Arabidopsis thaliana: one gene and its partner. The protein of the gene in region 1 interacts with the protein of each later gene in a pairwise test. Each region holds a gene or a part of one and is shown on either strand. Other genes may lie near its edges.

Evidence for each region.
Region 2: the proteins of TAF4 (region 1) and EER4 interact in a two-hybrid assay, tested with the Arabidopsis thaliana proteins (one study listed by BioGRID).

What each region holds. Positions count from the first base shown.
Region 1 is NC_003076.8:17,314,201-17,324,002, reverse strand, and holds TAF4 (TBP-associated factor 4), read left to right. Parts: upstream 1-2,817; 5' UTR 2,818-2,858; coding exon 2,859-2,897; intron 2,898-2,997; coding exon 2,998-3,103; intron 3,104-3,873; coding exon 3,874-4,388; intron 4,389-4,473; coding exon 4,474-4,566; intron 4,567-5,435; coding exon 5,436-5,481; intron 5,482-5,620; coding exon 5,621-6,255; intron 6,256-6,504; coding exon 6,505-6,629; intron 6,630-6,794; coding exon 6,795-6,882; intron 6,883-6,968; coding exon 6,969-7,104; intron 7,105-7,196; coding exon 7,197-7,252; intron 7,253-7,333; coding exon 7,334-7,390; intron 7,391-7,467; coding exon 7,468-7,608; intron 7,609-7,687; coding exon 7,688-7,756; intron 7,757-7,838; coding exon 7,839-8,061; coding exon of another isoform or gene 8,062-8,129; exon of another isoform or gene 8,130-8,165; coding exon 8,166-8,395; 3' UTR 8,396-8,542; downstream 8,543-9,802. Other genes in the region: AT5G43140 (Peroxisomal membrane 22 kDa (Mpv17/PMP22) family protein), read right to left, coding at 779-859, 950-1,074, 1,196-1,424, 2,104-2,433; AT5G43120 (ARM-repeat/Tetratricopeptide repeat (TPR)-like protein), read right to left, coding at 9,500-9,582, 9,679-9,802.
Region 2 is NC_003070.9:5,982,290-5,990,495, forward strand, and holds EER4 (Transcription initiation factor TFIID subunit A), read right to left. Parts: upstream 5,646-8,206; 5' UTR 5,375-5,645; coding exon 4,586-5,374; intron 4,371-4,585; coding exon 4,158-4,370; intron 3,680-4,157; coding exon 3,065-3,679; intron 2,977-3,064; coding exon 2,902-2,976; intron 2,806-2,901; coding exon 2,727-2,805; intron 2,628-2,726; coding exon 2,566-2,627; intron 2,427-2,565; coding exon 2,391-2,426; intron 2,301-2,390; coding exon 2,118-2,300; 3' UTR 2,064-2,117; exon of another isoform or gene 1,965-2,063; 3' UTR 1,695-1,964; downstream 1-1,694. Other genes in the region: AT1G17430 (alpha/beta-Hydrolases superfamily protein), read left to right, coding at 21-746, 866-958, 1,264-1,331, 1,519-1,630; AT1G17450 (B-block binding subunit of TFIIIC), read right to left, coding at 6,290-6,475, 6,623-6,661, 6,754-7,218, 7,376-7,434, 7,530-8,206.

The DNA of each region.
Region 1 (9,802 bases):
TGCTGACGTCATACCAATTAGATTTGAGCCACGTATGATAAGATTCAGTATGGGTCCCAAATGTCGAGTGCCGTTGTATACGACGAACACTATTAAATTGTCGGTAGCTCCTAGTTGCCTCCACGTGTAGATTTCCTGATGGCTTTCATGAAATCAAATTGGGTTTTTATTCATTTTTTGTGGAAGAAAATACGGAAGACCAAACAGTATCATTTTTTTTTCTGACGGCAAATATCTCGTGCCAATTGTTATTTTCTTAAAAGTATAGTAGGACAAAAGTGTAAGGGCAATTATATATACTTAGGACGATAAATAGTGTTTTATTTTGGCCACAATGTGACAATGGAAGAATGATGTTATATGATTCAAGGAGGCAATATGACCTAAAACGTGGCCTAAGTTTGGTTTCATTTGTGAATTATGTGGTTAACCTCATACTAGTTTTACCTACCCTAATTTATTTTTGGCATTAATTTAAATAAACAAAAATAAACCAAATTATTTTTTTAGTCAAAATGTTACAAGAAAGTAACAAAAAGTAAAAGAAGATGGTGAAGCAAGTTTTCGCAGTAAAACGCGATGGAACTTTGAGACTTCCTGATAAATATATGCTTAGATGATCAAAATTCATACATGTTTATGTCCATATCTATGCGATACTTTTGCTGCATTGTAGACACCAAAAAAACAAAAAAAATCTACTAGTACTGATGGTTGGTTCAATTGAATAAAAAGAATGCGATTGCGTGTGACCCAGAACACTCATACTTGTCATTGTTCAGCTGTCAGCTTTCGTCTGGTTTGCCATATATGTCAAATAGATTGTCCATATATATGCGCACGAGCTATTCATCAGTGGCTGCAACCAGAAGATTACAAGTTGAAGTTAAGAAGTGTCTTCAAACATCCCAAACAATAGAGAAAGTAATAAGATAGATATTTGGTTTACCTGTAGATGAACTGGCACATACTTGAATGTAACAAAATCACAGACCGGCCAATACATAAGTCCATTTTTCAATGTTGGCAGAAGATCTCTCTTCAATCTCGCCACAATTTCCTCAGAATTTTCGCCTTAAAAAGGACCAACAACGTGCCAGAACCAATCTCATAATGAGCACCATAAATTTACAGGCAGAGAAACCGTAAAAAGCTAAATCCGTTCAATCCATAGAGGTTTGATTATGTTATGTACCTTGTAAAGCAGCATTGTAGGAATAGAAGACTGTGTTGCTAACAGGTCCGAAAAGAACCTGCCCCATCATTATTTTCTTAAAGGTTGTCAACACGTCGCGCTTTGGCAATATCTTCGAAAGATAACTGAACCACAGATGCTGAGACGGCCCGAGAAATATCAACCCAAAGCTCGCCATTCTCGCTGTTCTTATCAAGTCAAAAGAACCAGTTGGCTCCATTGTGATCATCTGTTGAAGAATTTAGAGAGTCAACACAAATAAAACAAAACAAAAGGTTCTCTAGTTTCGCTCTAACATATTACTGGGGGAAGAGCACCACAACATGATCATAAAAAGACTCAAAAGAGAAATCCACTAATGACAAGAAGAAAAACAGAGTTTACAAGAACCCCAACACACACACCTAAAGCTTTTTTCACCTTAGCAATAAGTATTCACAAGAGATAATAACAAGAAGATTAGACTATTCGGATTGGAGTGTGAGTTTTCTGAGTAATCAAACCAATACTAAATTCATCCATTATTCAGTACAGAAAGACTTCAAATTCACAAGAGTACAATATACAGATTCAGTAAACACTGTAAGTACAGTCTCACACATCAAAGAACAACAGTTGAGAACACAGACTAAACCAAAAATATGAGAATAACAATTCATTAAAAAACACCAACTTTTAGTGCTATCTCCACCTATTCTTTACTAAAGTATTATAACTTCTTCCACTAGTAAGATTATGATCTAGTTTCAAATCAAATTTGGAATTGTCTTGGTATAATAACAAATGAAGATTAGTCTTTTCTTCCTAAATCAAGAGATAAAATTCAAAACTTTAACAAAATTCTCTAATTAGTAATGAAATGAGAAAGAACCCTAAATTCCAAAAACTACAAAGATTCAAAAAAAAACCTGAGAAGTGAGATCTGCAGCCATATAGATGACAGAAGTAGTGATACTCTTAGTCATAAAAGGATGTGATTCGAGCTTTCTCAAATACCATCGTAGAAACGCAGGTTGTTTCGAAGAAGAAGACGAAGCCTTCGTCGTTAGATTTCGCGACACGGAGAAAACACGAGGGATTACGAAATTCCCAGTTTTGCGTAGCTCGTGAATCGATCGGCCGGAGAATCCGAGAATCGGTTTCCGACCGGTGAACACTGTTTTCAAGAGAGCATTGTTGATCCCGTGAAGAGAGCGACGATCGGAGAAGAAACGTTTGCTCAATCCAACGATATTCATCTTCTTTTTTCGCCGATGCTTCGTTAATGGCGGCAGCTTACACTGTACTTTTGATGTATCTCTCTCTCTGTACCAGAACTTTTAGTCTCAATACACGCAAACAACAAACAGTGCTTAACCAAAACCAATAAACGACATAAAGTTTGATATATCTCTCCACGCAATAAAGCAAACGACAGCGTTTTTCGTATTCCATTAAACGTCATGCAGTTTTTAAAAGAACACCAATAAACAACATGAGGTTACTCATCCATAACAAACGGTATCGTTTTTTTTCGATCAAAATTAAAAACGACATACAGTGCTAAAACAAAGCTAATAAACGACATGAGGTTAGTTTAGGACTAATCTTATAACATCTGTTTCCTATTAATTCATCTACGCCGAGAGCTCTCTTTCTCTCTTTGCCTTCCCCAGCTATTTCAATGGATCCTTCAATTTTCAAGCTCCTTGAAGAAGATGAGGTTAGGTTTCTAATCTCACTCGTTTCAAAATCCAATTTTGTGTGATGTATCTGGAATCGTCTTCGTGGTTTTTGATTCCGGTCGAATTGTATTATTTTAGGATGAATCGATGCATTCAGGAGCTGACGTAGACGCGTTCCAAGCTGCTCTGAATCGTGATATTGAAGGTTCTATGACAACTTCAATACCCCACGTGACAAACCCAGGTTTGGTTTCTCTACAAATTCGCTCTTAAATTTTATGTCTGAGATTTTAATTTTTGTGGTACTATTAGTTAATATAAAGATAGTATCTTTTGGTTTTATCTTGGATTGGCTGCTTTGGGAAGCTTTGACATGTTAGCAAAGTTGTGCTTGTTTTTAATATATACAGTTTTCTCAGATAGGTTATTACTCTTGGAACATGGATAACTTAAGAAGATGCCTTGGTTAGGCTATATTGTAAACCTTGCTAATCTAGTGACATGTTTGGAAGTTTCAGTCCTGTATTAAAGCAATAGTTAAGGTCATGAAATATTAGTTTGTTAGGGTTTCTGTATGTTAATATCGGGATAAGCTTTGTCATTGCCAATATAGCCTGTACTAGTTGATTGTTGAGTCATTAAAATTGATCAGTGTGATGGGATTTATTAGCCAGGGTAGACATAGGTTGGTGATGCTGATACTATTTTAGTGTTAGGCTTTGTTCTTGGTTCACTGCAATCTTGACGATGATTACGTGTCTCCTTAAATCATTATTTTCTGTCTCTGGTGCTGGAAGTGATCTCTTTCCTCTGACTACACCATTAAATATTGAAATACAAATAGGTTGTGATTTGTGGATAGGTGTATGAGAGCTACTGAGTATGCATTTTGTGTGCATAATCTGCTACAACAAAATCCTGTCTTTTGTCCTTTTTTGGGTATTATATGATTTTTCCTCCAGTTTAACTTGTGATTTGAGTATCATCAACCAATTGCTTCTATTATTTTTATAGGAAACAACCATTCTTCCAGGCAGCAGTTTTCGACATGGAAGAATGGTATTGGAGATTCTAATATCAATGTCCAGACTCAGCATAGCCTTGAAAGTACTCAGATGAAGGAGCAAGAAGGATCGACTTTAGAAAATCAACATCAACATGATTTGAAACGCGCAAATGAACCTCATTTACAACACAACCAGCCTCAAGACCTTCATCGAGCTGGTCAACTCTGGGAGAATCCCTCGCAGGTCCCCCAATCAACTGGGTTACCGATTAGTGAAAAGAATCCTACTGGTAATGAATCAGATAGATCCCATAATCAAGAGAGTGAATCTCAGTATATGAAACTGCAAAAGATGAGTAGTCAACAGGCTCGGGGAGTGGAACCGCCTGTTAACCCTATGAATGTTAACCCTATAAACCGCAACCCTAAGCAAGTACCATTTGCTGCTTTGCTTCCTACTTTAATGAACCAACTCGATAAAGATAGAGCACTGCAGCTCCGTACCCTATATGCTAGACTTAAGGTATGTCTATCTGTGAAATCATTTGACATTCTGTTCCAAAGCTATTGTATTATCATTTCTTTCCTTCTGCTACTTTTTTTTGCAGAAAAATGAAATCCCCAAAGAGGGGTTCACACGACATATGAAAGATATTGTGGGCGATCAGATGCTCAGGATGGCAGTTAGTAAACTCCAGCAGGTATTACCATTTTGCATATATTGTGCCATGTTGTGACTAAAACCAGACAACCAACCTAGGGTATTAGTTTGTAAGTGGAATCATGTTGGAATTGTTTGTCTAAAAGTTCTGCTTGCTAGTGCTTTACATTTTTACTCTTTTTTTACATTTGCTCTTTGAATTTAGCTGGATCAAAAGACTATTGTTTTTTATTAGCTTGAATGCACATAGAATGGTCTGACATGAAGTAGAACTGTTGATAAGTCAAATGATGTTTAGAATATATATTTTAGCTTCATAAATTAGATACAACATATTGAATTAGGGAAAAACTCTTTATTTTCCTCTATTTTGATCACTACCAAAAAGTCGAGATTTACTTTCTTACAGAATACCAATCTTAGCAGATTATTATTCCTTTCCAAAGGTTATCAGACTTATGCCTGGGATGATCTAATCATATGAGTTTACTGACTTGCGTTTGTCCCACATTTACATGTTAAAACGGTGCTAAATTTATACGTCCAGCGTTTGTGGTCAATGTCTGCAGAGTAGGACTAGTTCAAGTACACCAACTGATACGATTTAATCTTATTTCCCATTATAATTATAATAAGATACGAAAAGTTTAGTCCAATTCTAATTAGAATTTCTATTTTCTTTCCCTTTTTCGTTTGGGAGTTATCTTTTCCTATATATAAGGTTGAAGCTCTTTATCTTTGTCCGAGGGAACCAAAGTTATTCTCTTTGTTCTGTTTTCTACTATTTTAATGAAGGTTTTGCTTTTTGAACTGGGTTCTTAATTCCAACTAAAATTGTGCTAACCGTTGAAGCATTTGAAATTGGGTATAGATTCTTATTTATTTGTAATTTGTGCTCATTGTTTTCAGGTGAACTATAACCAGGGAAAAATTGGAATTCAAGCTCCTTCTACTGGTATAAATTATTCACTAATGCATTCTTTTTTATTTTTCTTTCACCATTATCATAAAAGCTTCTATACTCTCCATAGATATATCTTATTACTTCCATGCAGGAGCCAATATCTTACCTGATTAAATCTATTCATTCGCAGAAATCAATAATCAAAAATCTCAGTCTGATCCTCGTGCAGTCCATCTTAACCAACTACCGTCCTCAGCTTCAGGCACCTTAGGCAGTTCAGTTCCGGTACAGGGACTTACCAAACATCCGCAGCACCAGATGCAGCATCCACCAAGTTCTTTTCCTATGTATACCACTTCTGGTAGTTTTCATTCATTCCCGGGTCCAAACACCAATGCTTCTGGTTCCACGTTGAGACCTCACCTTCATGATTCCCATATGAGACATGTGGCACATAACCAGCCTATGGGATCAACTGGTCTTGGAGGACCGCCCCAGTCTACCACAAACATGATGACTATGCCCAAGTTTGAGAGGCCAAGTTCTGTAAATGATCCGAGTAGGGTTCAGGGTGGCGCTACATCGCACTTCCAGAACAGCTCATCATTGCCTCTAAATTCTGCACCTGGTCAAGGATCATCAGTGTCCCACGTAAAGCAGGAATCAGTTGATCAAAGTTTTGAAAAGAATAATGCAGCCTCAATGACTTCGAATGAGGACTTAGAGAAGGAGTCCTCTAGAATGGTTTTATCCACGCCTAACAACATGGCGCCTGCAAGCTCTGTTTCTCCTTCCATGACAACTCAACTAGACGCCAGCACAACTGTAAGAGATCTATTAATATATAGTTTTCTCATTATAAAAGTCAGTCTCCACTGTTCTTGTTTGCCTCTTCTCTTTGAGCTGCTGGGGCAACTATGGCGCTTCAAAAGCCCTTGCATATTTTCCGTGTTATGTCCGACAACCTGGACATCTATTGTTTTTCCTTGTTTTGGGTTTTATAATTTCTACTATAAACAGTAAATAGGAAAAGTTTCAATTGGACATCATTAACATTGTTTGTGTATCCATCAGATGAATTCTCGTGGCCCATTGGGAACCTCTCAAGGAGGAGCTAATGCTAGGATGCCACCCAAAAAGCCTTCTGTTGGTCAGAAAAAACCTCTTGAGACATTAGGTTCTTCACCTCCACCACCAAGGTAATTGATCTGCTCAGGCTTAGAAACAGGGAACAGTTTTTTAAGTCACTCTTTCTTCGTTAATAATAGACTTCTGATGTATGGATTTTTAAGTGTAAACCACTTTTCTTTTCGAGTCCCCAAGTAATATAAAATCATAATCGTTTTGCATGGATCAACTTGCAGCAAGAAGCAAAAAGTAGCAGGGAATTCTATGGATCAAAGTATTGAACAGCTCAATGATGTCACTGCAGTCAGTGGTGTTAATCTCAGGGTGCGTTTCCTGGTAGCTTCAGTTTTCAATTTTAATCTGGATGTAGATTACTGAAGTAAATCATTTTTTGTCTGCATTTGATTTAGGAAGAGGAAGAACAATTATTTTCTGGGGCCAAGGAAGATGGTCGTGTTTCCGAAGCATCTCGGAGAGTTGTGCACGAAGAAGAAGAAAGATTAATCTTGCAGAAGAATCCTCTGCAAAGAAAGCTGGCGGAAATTAGTTGGGATACTTCCCATATCTTCTTCTATTTTAATTTCTAGTTATTGAATCACTTGGAGACGAAGCTTACATATGCTTTTCTTATCTGGCAGTGGCTAAAGCCGGGTTAAAGCAGATAAGCAATGATGTCGAACGGTGCTTATCTTTGGTGAGATGTCAACTTCGTGTGCATTGTTTGCATACAATACTTGAGCTTCTTTTTCCCCTTTTCTCATGTATTTGCTTTCAGTGTGTGGAGGAAAGGATGCGAGGACTATTATCCCATATAATTCGGTTGTCAAAGCAGGTCAGTCTAACTTTCTCTTACTACCTGGTTCAACATTGTTTGATAAATTCTGTCTGAAGCTAAAAATGCTTCTTCAGCGGGTTGATGCTGAGAAATCTAGGCACCGGACTTTTATCACATCAGATATTCGGCTACAAATCAACGAAATGAATCAGAAGGTGAAGGAAGAATGGGAGAAGAAACAGGCTGAAGCAGAAAAGCTTAAGAAACCGAGTGAGGTCTGTTCTGAGCTCATTATCTATGTTCTTATGTTTACTACAACACACAGACATTGCAAATTTCATCTTTTTGCTGCAGAGTGAAGAAGGTGATGGTGGAGTTGACAGTGAGAAGGATAAAGAAGATAATCGTTCAAAGGGTGTGAAGGTATGGAGAAATTAATAATACATTTGTGGAAATTAATAATACCGTTGCAGTGTTCTTACAAAAGTGGTTTCGACATGTGAAGGGAAATAAAGAGGATGACGACAAAATGAGAACGACAGCTGCAAATGTTGCTGCTCGTGCTGCTGTCGGAGGAGATGATGCGTTCTTAAAATGGCAATTAATGGCTGAAGCTCGTCAGAAATCTGTATCTGAAGCTGGTAAAGATGGGAATCAGAAAACTACTTCAGGTGGAGGAAAGAACTCCAAAGATAGACAAGATGGTGGACGACGGTTTTCTGGTACTGGTGAGTCCATCCTTTTTAACTTGTTTCCCCTAGCAAAGCCGATGAACAAACCGATAAACCCTCCTTGAAAGCATGAAATGCTGCTAGTGTTAGGAAATGCTAAGAATCTAGCTGTGGTGTGGGGATTGTCTATCGAGTTAGTTCCTCACGGTTTTGGTTTGCGATGATGAGCTTTGGATTCTTGTTTGCAGGTGGTCGAAGAGTAGGGAAAAACCAAGGTTCGTCGCTTCAACCGAAAGTGGTGAGGACAATCTCTGTGAAGGATGTGGTTGCGGTCCTCGAAAGAGAGCCACAGATGTCCAAATCCACTCTGATGTATCGATTAATTCAATAGAAAGAAGAATCATTATATTTATAAGCTTCTGATGATAATTTAATCGTCAAGGCCCCAAGTCATTTATTTTTATACCATTGTGATTTGTTTCTGTTATGTTCATTGTTTTTTCATGGCCATTTCAACTCAAACGTCAATTTACAACACATCTTCTAGTGACTCATATCTCAATACTTTGCATCCAATGCAAAATTGAAAGACAAAAGTACTCTTTGTTAAATCATATACAGTATGTATCACACCGTCTAGTTAGCGACTGGACCCATCAAATAAATAATCACAAATTATTAATATGGTTGCTATAACTTCATTACTCTTATTGATATTTCTTGTAAATAGATGATAAAAATATTGTGTTTAGTCCAAATAATACACGCAAACTCGAGAAATTTGTCTACACTAAACCATATTATTCAAGTAAAAGAATGAGTAAAGATCACGCGGAACTTAATTGTGGTTTTGTGGTCCTCCCCACCTTCTGTGACTCGCACCTCTATCCCATTTACTACTTCGCATAAAATACTCGTTTTCACTCTATTCAATGCCAAGAAAACAACGTTGTAACTACTAAGAACCCATAAATATACTGAAAACACGAATTTCAATTATGTTTTTAGTGTTTCATCGTGTAACTTTTTCATAATATTTAAGGATTCGATCTTATCTATATATAGACAATACACTTCAAATTCTAAGGATAGACTAGAAGAAAACTCAATAAGGAAAAGTTTCATACTAATATTAGATGGAAAACAATTAAGAAAATAATAATAATACTATGCTTATGGTTATGATTTTGGTAGATGAAGTCGTAAAGAATATAAAAAAAAAGAACAACATTGGAGAAAATTGTCTTTAAATTACTAGGGTTTGTTTTTAGTAAATATGTGGATGAGTAAATACAATCTTAATGCAACCATTTTATAAACTAAAGAACGATATAAATAAGAATTCTAGTAGTACTAGTACATAGTGATTAGTACAACACTTAAACTCTTTGACAAATCGATACTAATCCATCACAAAAGTACCAAACATTCTAATAGAAAACGAAAAGAAAAAACTAATGAGATAGAATAATTAAAATCGCTTCATAGATATTGATCACTCCAAGGGATCAAGATTCTTCCTTTGCATCATCAATCCTTCCTTCTTCTTCTCGGGTTCTTCTGTGATCGTCGACAAACCTTGCCAGAGAGATAAACAATGTAATATGAAATTGTTTTATCTAGAAAAGATTCAAGAACTTATATTCATACATATATATAAGAAAATGAATATACCTGTTAAGTGAAATTTCTCCTTGAGCATCATTCTTCCAAGCTTTGATGCTCTAGCCTTTTCAAACAGCCACGTAGCCTCCATCTGTTTGCTTATCATTTGAGCAGCATAGTAAGGGATATTACC
Region 2 (8,206 bases), on another chromosome or scaffold:
GATTTCCACTTTTCTTAAAAATGGCGTCCATGAAACACGTTCATCTTTTCCGTCGTTATCTCTCAATCGTTTTCACTCTCTTTCAACGCTTAATTTCATGTTTCTTCGATTTTCCGATACTGATCAAAATCGCAGATTCGTTCTTATCTCTGTATTTCTTAGTTTTCTGCGATCTCCGACCCGTAACCGTCGATCTAGACGACGGAGAAACCACAGTCCATTTCTGGATCTCCGGCCACCGTAGAATCTCTCGGCAGAATCTCGTCATGCTCCATGGATACGGAGGAAACTCCAAATGGCAATTCGTTCATCAAGTCTCGGATCTCTCGAAATCGTTTAATCTCTTCATCCCCGATTTGGTCTTCTTCGGAAAATCGTATTCGAAGAATAGAGATCGGAGCGTTGAGATTCAGGCGAGGAGCGTCGTCGGAGGATTGAAGAAACTGGGATGCGTTGAAGGAGGAGGAGGAATATCGATTTATTCGATTAGTTACGGTGGATTTGTGGCGTATAAAATGGCGGAGATTTGGCCGGCGATGGTTGAGAAATTGGTGATTGTGAGTAGTGGAGTGGGATTTACACAGCAGCAGAAGACGGCAGAATTGAAAAAACACGGCGGAGATTGTTCGAAGATTTTAGTTCCGAAAACTCCGATGGATCTACGGTTGCTGATTAAGATATCTATGAATACTGGTTTAACGTTCGTCGATTGGGTTCCAGACTTTTTCCTTTCCCAATTCATCGCTGTAAGTTTGTTCTGTTTCTGTTTTATCTGTTTATTTCCGAATCTGGTCCCGTAAATTGTTTGTTCGTTAGTCATGATCCTAAAGGTTTGGAATTTGCAAAATTCATCCTCTTCTTATAGGTAATGTATGAGAAAAATCGGCAGGAGCTTCTTGAGCTAGCTAAGAATTTGTTGGAACGAGAGGAGGAACCAGAATTGCCTGTAATATCCCAGGTAGTATAAAATTTCGTTGAGTTAACCTTTTTTTAATTCCTGATCACTAATGGTTTAACTCTAAGCATCAAGATATATATTAATAAGTTGGCGTGATGATTAATGTGTCGCTGATAGAGAACTAATTGATGTTTTGGATTGTTTTTATGGGTTTTAAGTATTCATCTTTTGGATAGTGGAAACACTATTCTCGTTTGTTTGCTTTCACTTTTATATTATTTCTAGAGGGATGCTATGGATTGAGATGCTTTATTCGAATCTACGAATAAAATATGACTCTGATTAATTTGATATATATGATGCAGAAAACGTTAATCGTTTGGGGAGACAAGGACAAGGTGTTTCCCTTGGAGCATGCTTATCGGCTGCAAAGGTAAATACTACATTGATATTTTATGGTAATAAGTCCCATAACAAGTGTTGTCATAATAACTACATCCGTATAAAATATTTAATATTTCTACTAGGTCAAAAGAGATGAAACATCGAACGTGAACGCATGTGATTATTGATCGTGAATCCAATATGTCGAAACTAATAAAAATTATATACTTTTGCAGGCATTTACAGAGTTCAAGATTAGAGATAATAAAGGAAACAGGACACGCTGTTAACATTGAAGCACCAACTACTCTTAATAATTTTATTACTTCGTTTGTCTTAAGTGCTTGATTTCTATTTTTGTATATACTTCTTCTTCATATAAATATCTATATGCATTTGATTTAAGTGTATATATAGTTGACATCATTTAACATATCATCAACTGCTGAGTCATCAAAGAGCTAAAACTTTCAAGCTTAAAATGGAGAGGACAACTAAAATTACAAAAGGAAAAAACAAAAACCCACTAAAAAAGAAGACGAAATAGTTAGAAAGTCCCACAACTACGAAAAAAATAACTGTATTATTTGATTGCCTATAAGACTCATGAATTTTATATATAATACATACAGTTTCACTACTTGTGCCTTCAACTCTCCATAGATGTGTAAACTCCTGCAACCTATAATAGGAAAAGTTGAGGACTATATATAGCCAGCCATAAATACCCGAGGTTTTCTTATTTATGTAAGTGGTGTTTGTGTATGATAAAAGTGTTTACCAAGAAGATGAACATAGCAGTGAGAGCTGGCTCAGGCTTCTATATTCAAGTCCTTTAGTATCGTGTCATGTGTTGTAATATGTGAGGACCGGATGTCTGCGAAACCAATTGTTCTGAACTTTGGGAGGGTCTTAAGAGATGATTCGGACCATTTGGGTTCACCATCGCTTGTCTCATAGTTTCCTTGGAATTGCTTGCATTCGTCTCTGGTTTTGAGGATTCTAGTAATGCACGCACCTGGCGACACAACACAAAAAAGAAACTTCAGAGAGAGGTCCATAAGCACGACTGTACACAAAGAGATGTTTGGAATATCATTCAGCTTACCATTGCAAGTCGCTTCTTGTGGAGATCAGTTGGTACCTGCAAGTTGTTAACTTGGGATCAATATCTAGCAAACTCATGTTCTTTCTCTTTTTCTTTTATTGGACATTCAGGTGGTGATGCACATTCACATATACTTTTTGTGCTTTTAAAGAGTTTTAAAAAGAAAATCACTTACAGTTTTTGTTTGACGTTTATCCTCACTTGAGAATCCAGGAATTGTCAAGTGCAAGTTTTTCTCTGCAAAAAATTATAACTCAGCAAACAGTAAAATGAGTAACAATAGCAACTACTTAGAATTCACATTGAACAGAGCTCATCACCAAATTAAGTACAGACCTAGGTGGAGTAATATATCCTTGGGCTCCAATACAGATGATTTACGATGCTTAGCCAAGCTACATGCAAAAGATGTGACCTGCAATGAAGTTTAGGTAAGATAGAGATAGGTTTTCACAAATCTGTAAATAAAAAAGCTGAAGTTAATACTAAATAATTGATATTAGCTTCTAACCGAATCAATGAAGTCATCTGCCACCTCCAAAAGGAGGTCTTCAACATCAGGATCCAGTTTCGCATGTACATCCACCTGAACATCATGATACAATAGAATGAAACATATTTCTAAAGGAAGAAGAAGATAGAAACAAGCTATAGAGTTGAAGAGGGAAAATCACCTGCGAAACCAGATCCTGTATCTTCCTTTTACCAAGGAGTTGGTTTGTTGCTTCTGTTCCCTGGCTTGAGCTACCACCTGGTGTTGTTGTACCCGATTGTGTAGCCTCTGGTTGTGAACCCGTTAAACTGACAGATTTTTGTCCTGCATGACTCAACATCCTTGGAGATGGCTGTTGTTGATTAATCTGCATTTGCTGTTGTTGTTGCTGCTGCTGCTGCATCTGCTGTTGTGGTTGCTGCTGTAGTTGCTGCTGCATCTGTTGTAGTTGTTGTTGGGAATGGGATTGGTTCATCTGCGACTGGCCTAATTGTGATTGTTGCTGCTGCTGTTGTATTATCTGTGATATCTGCTGCTGATTCAAGGACATAGAAGATTGATGTAACTGAGGAGAGGACAGTTGTTGTTGTTGCTGCTGCTGCTGCTGTAAGAGAAGAGCCTGTCTTTGACTCGGTTGGAGTCGGAATGAATTGGGGCTCGTTATTCCCGACATTTGCTTCAGCCATTGCTGCTGTGACAAAGAGTTTTGCATCATGCCAGCTTGTCCATTCTGGGCCAAACCCGATAGCTGAGGATTCATAAATGCGAGAGAAGATGTTCTCTGGAGGTTCTGGACCTACACAGGGGATTACAAAAAGTTACCAAGTGAAGAGGATACAGGATACATGAGATTCGACGCAACTCTATTTTTTAACTTGAAACGAAAGAAACACATGCTCACAAAATGATCAGGAATTTGCATATTGCACAACATAAATGTATTAGTACCTCTATAGATACATAGGCCAGATTTTACAATTACACGGTAAATCTGTCAAATTTAAGGATCATTCCCGCGTCATTCAGGTATTTTAGTTGCCAATTACAGATATTGGAAAAACTCTGCAAGTCAATATTAAGTGATTGATTAAAGTACCAAAACCTCATGGATCAGTTTAATTAAGACTGTGCAACAATAAGTCAAAAGAAGTGAAAGGATCCAACACGAGAATTCATTTGTATCTATGAGCCATAAGATATAACAAGTAGTCAATAAAAAAGTTCACAATGTGAGAGAAAGAAGTTCGTAAGATACGACTTTTTAAAACTCATACCTGAGGTGAAGTAAGAGCGTTTTGCTGTGACAATTGCTGTCTCATCTGCCCCGGGTTGATTCTCTGCTGCGCATAGAGAGCAGGGTTACCTCTCATTTGCGAGGTCAAATTCAGTGATCCCATCATTCCCATAGCTTGCATCCCTTGTAACTGTTGTCCAGAACTTCCCGGATGAAACTGCGAACCTTGAACCATGCCAGATTTCTGCCTCGGCTACAACGGAAAAGCTCATTTGTCTCAGAATAAAGAAAATGATTTGTTGTTCACACAATAATAGAAGAAACTGCAGAGTTTACTATATTCATATCAACAAAAACAATTGCAACACTATCTCCATCTAAAGCAATACTACAAGTTGAGACTCCATCCACAAAAAGAAAGATATGAATCAACAAAGGGAAAGAGAGTAAAAGTAAAGAATGGGGTACCGAAGCAGCCAATAATTGGGGTTGAATATTCATCTGAGCAGCTCCAGCAGCACCGTTAAGCATAGGCAAGTGACCGCTTTGGCCAACTAAACCTGCTCTGGACATATTAGGGTTAACCATCTGCTGATTCTGCTGGCTCTGTTGAACTGAACCTGAGCCACCAAAGTTCATGGTTCCGTACAAACCAGCTTGCTGTCTCAACACGTTGCCGTATTGACCTTGATGCTGCTGCTGCTGTTGTTGCTGAATTTGGCTCAGGCGAGAAAGAGAAGGGGATCGCTGAAGAGATTGAGCAATTTGGTAACTCGACATTGGGATTTGCTGTGAAGTCATGTGTTGTTGCTGCAGAATCTGTTGCTGTTGCGGCGATAATTGTGGAATCGGAGATGAAGAGATTTGCTGCATAATCTGTTGTTGTTGTTGAGGCAATTGCTGAGTTTGTTGAACGAGTTGCTGAGTCTGTGTTTGCTGATCTAAAGATGAAGAAGGGTGAGAGAGAGGAGAAGGCGACGGGATCTGAGCTCCGATTGGTGGGTTAGAAGAAGTAGGGTTGGGAGAGGAGATGTTAGGTTGCGAATTGTTCTGAATTACAATACCTTCGGTGGTAGTTACAGTCATCGCCGGAGACGCAGCGGAATTAACAGAATTGGAAATCGGAGCTGTCATGAGTTGTTGTTGTTGAGATGATGATGAAGGTAAAGGAGTAGAAGATGCAGGAGAAGGTTCCATAGGATTAGGAGATTGTAGAGATTTCGGTGACAGAGACGATGAGGGAATCGGTTCCGCCATTAGAAGAAACCCAGCTGTGAAGAAGAAGAAGAAGAAGAAGAAGAAGAAGGTGTATTATTTGGTTGAGAGGGGTTTTGTCGATTTTCTCTCATGAAATCGTGTTTTATTTTTTTCCCAGAAGTTTATTGACCGATAAAATATGGTCTTCTATTTTTTTTGTTTTGTTTGTTGAATCAGTTCTGGGGAAAAAAGAATCTGAGCCGTACACGTCAGTAGATTTAGCGGAAGATGATCGAAAAGATACTTGTACTGAACTGTGTTTCATTATTCCAGACTCTCGCACAACTGCTCTAACACTTTTTGTAGGATTATCTCATAGACCAATGCAATCAATATTTTACATTTTTTTCTCTTCACCATTTATTACATCAAATACGTCAACAAAAAGTCAAACTGTTTCGTTACTCAGGTGATGAAACTAGTGTGCACTATTTTCACGTTTTTGGTGTTTCAGAATTATGTTTTTAAATTTATTCAGCACAATGTTTTTTCTGCCTCTTGATTCTGTATGATTCAAACCTTTATTGATTAACTAAGTAAACTACACTAACTAGATGGAAACAACATCCTGTTGATCATTTAATTCATTCTTATTTGGAGATTTTTCCGTCTACAAATTAAATAGAAATCTTTATTTAGTTATAACTTGTAACTTGTAGGAGACCTTTTAGTTGAATAAAAAATAAGCTCTCTTTTTAACTGAATAAAACCTTCCAAAACTCACCTATAATAGGGATATGAATCCAACACTATGAATCTATAAAGAGAATTAATCATCACACCTACAGCTATACAAATACAAGATCTTGTGGACTTTAAATCACAAAACTATAATAATTTCCCACATAAACATTAATAATTTATTGCATCGAGTTTTGGACTGAACTAGAGAGACTGAGAGAGATTTTACAGACATTACAAGGCAAAGAGTCCCTTGGAGTTTGCAAACAAGTGTTTGCGGCGAATAAGTTCCGGTTTTCTAGGACCTGTTGAGACGAGACCGGCTAACAGAGACGGAGGACCGGTGAATTTGGTTTGCACCATTTCCCTCACTTTCATATAGCCGTCGAGTGTCATCAACTCCAGAAGCTTTCTACAGCTCTGATATTGAAATTTTTTTACAGAATGTTATCAGAGAGCAACCACCGTATATAGAGACAACAGACAAAGAGCTTTAAGAAGTTTTGATCAGTTTCAGTAAATGAAACCATAGGAGAAGAGGTTTTTAGGGTTTATGATTGTTATTACCTGAGGATTTAGTATGTCCATTAGGTTTATTATCTCGTCCTGCCACAAATGAATGTTTCGATTAGTATTTTCATAGAGTTCGAAACCATGATGGCAAAAACTTATTGGGTGGAAAATGGAGAAGTATTTACCTCTGGTATACCGGGATTTTGCATCACGGTACCAAGAACACGGCGAACTAGTCCATCAAAGACAATTTTATTTATTGACCCATCTGCGTTTACCCATGGATATATAGGCACAGGTGACTTTTCAGAAGTTGATTCCTTTGTTTCACCTTCAATACCCGTTCCAAAAGTAACAGATGGAGCTTTGATAGATGCTTCATGCAAACCGCTCGTTTGAGCCGTTTCAGGAAGGTTAAGAATTGTAACCTTGTGAACGCTATTCCCAGCGACATGCTCTCGCATGTCCTGTGAAGTACTGTAGCTGCTAGCAATGATATCTTTGGACCTATGTTCCCCAACAGCTCTCTCTAGGTAGTTCACTGGTAGAGACTGTTGACTTTTTTGGGAAGTTCCATCTTCCTCCAATGTCAAGAAGTACTTTGATCGGTAGAAGGAATGGACAACACGGAAATTATTATAGCCATTTACCTGAATAAGATATTGTATGGTTAACAAGTTGCTTGTAAAACGATGTAACATGAACTGAGTTCACAATCCAGGTAAGTAAAACTAGTAAACCAAGCACTGCAACTTTCATCTTAATAAAGGCAACAGGGTTTGTAAAATAAGAGATAATCAGACAAACCTTCAAAGCTACCCCAAATGTTTGAAGTACATCTACAATGCAGTCACAAGTTTCTTGGCCTGATGAATACACAAAGGTTAAATAAAAACACTGAAGGAAGTCGCCAGCACATGCAAAAATAAAAGCCTGTTAAAAAGGTTTGCCTGATGCTTACTTGGGATATCAATAAGACTGTGGACTTCTTCAATGCTCAGACCTTGGTCACCAGCCTTCTGAAGGGCATTGGAAACGGTTTCAAAAACCCTGGGACTGAATAAACTAACTTCCTCATCTGTTGATTCGGACATAATGCTACTAGTAAAACTGGCCATCGCTTGCCAGGGAGAATCACCTAGACTGCTTGGTATGACAGTAGAATCTGTAGAGTTGAAAAGTTCTTTCATGTCATCAGAATCACAGCCACTATTCGCTTCTCCCCACTTCAAATGAAATTCACCAGTGCGAGAGTCATCATCCTTAAACAACTCTATTGCATTAGCTGTTGGTATAGTTGCACGACGAACAGATACTGCTATACCAGGGAAACCCTTTTCCTTTCGGAAGTTGATTTCACCTTCGCCTAGTAGCTTCAATTTCTTAGAACTCTCAGCTTCAGATTCTTCTATGTCATCAGCTCTACGTTTCAAACCTCTTCGATCTCCAGGCTCTCCAACACCTTCTTCAGGCAAGGATACAGATATAGAGAGTTCACCAGAAGAAACCAATGAAAAGAAATTTAAAATATCACCACATTGCAAATCCGAAGTAAGAGTGACACCCCCAGCCATAAGGTCTCTTTCATGTTCGAAAAGCCAACTGGAGAACTTGGCTGCTCTTGTCCCAGTATTAACT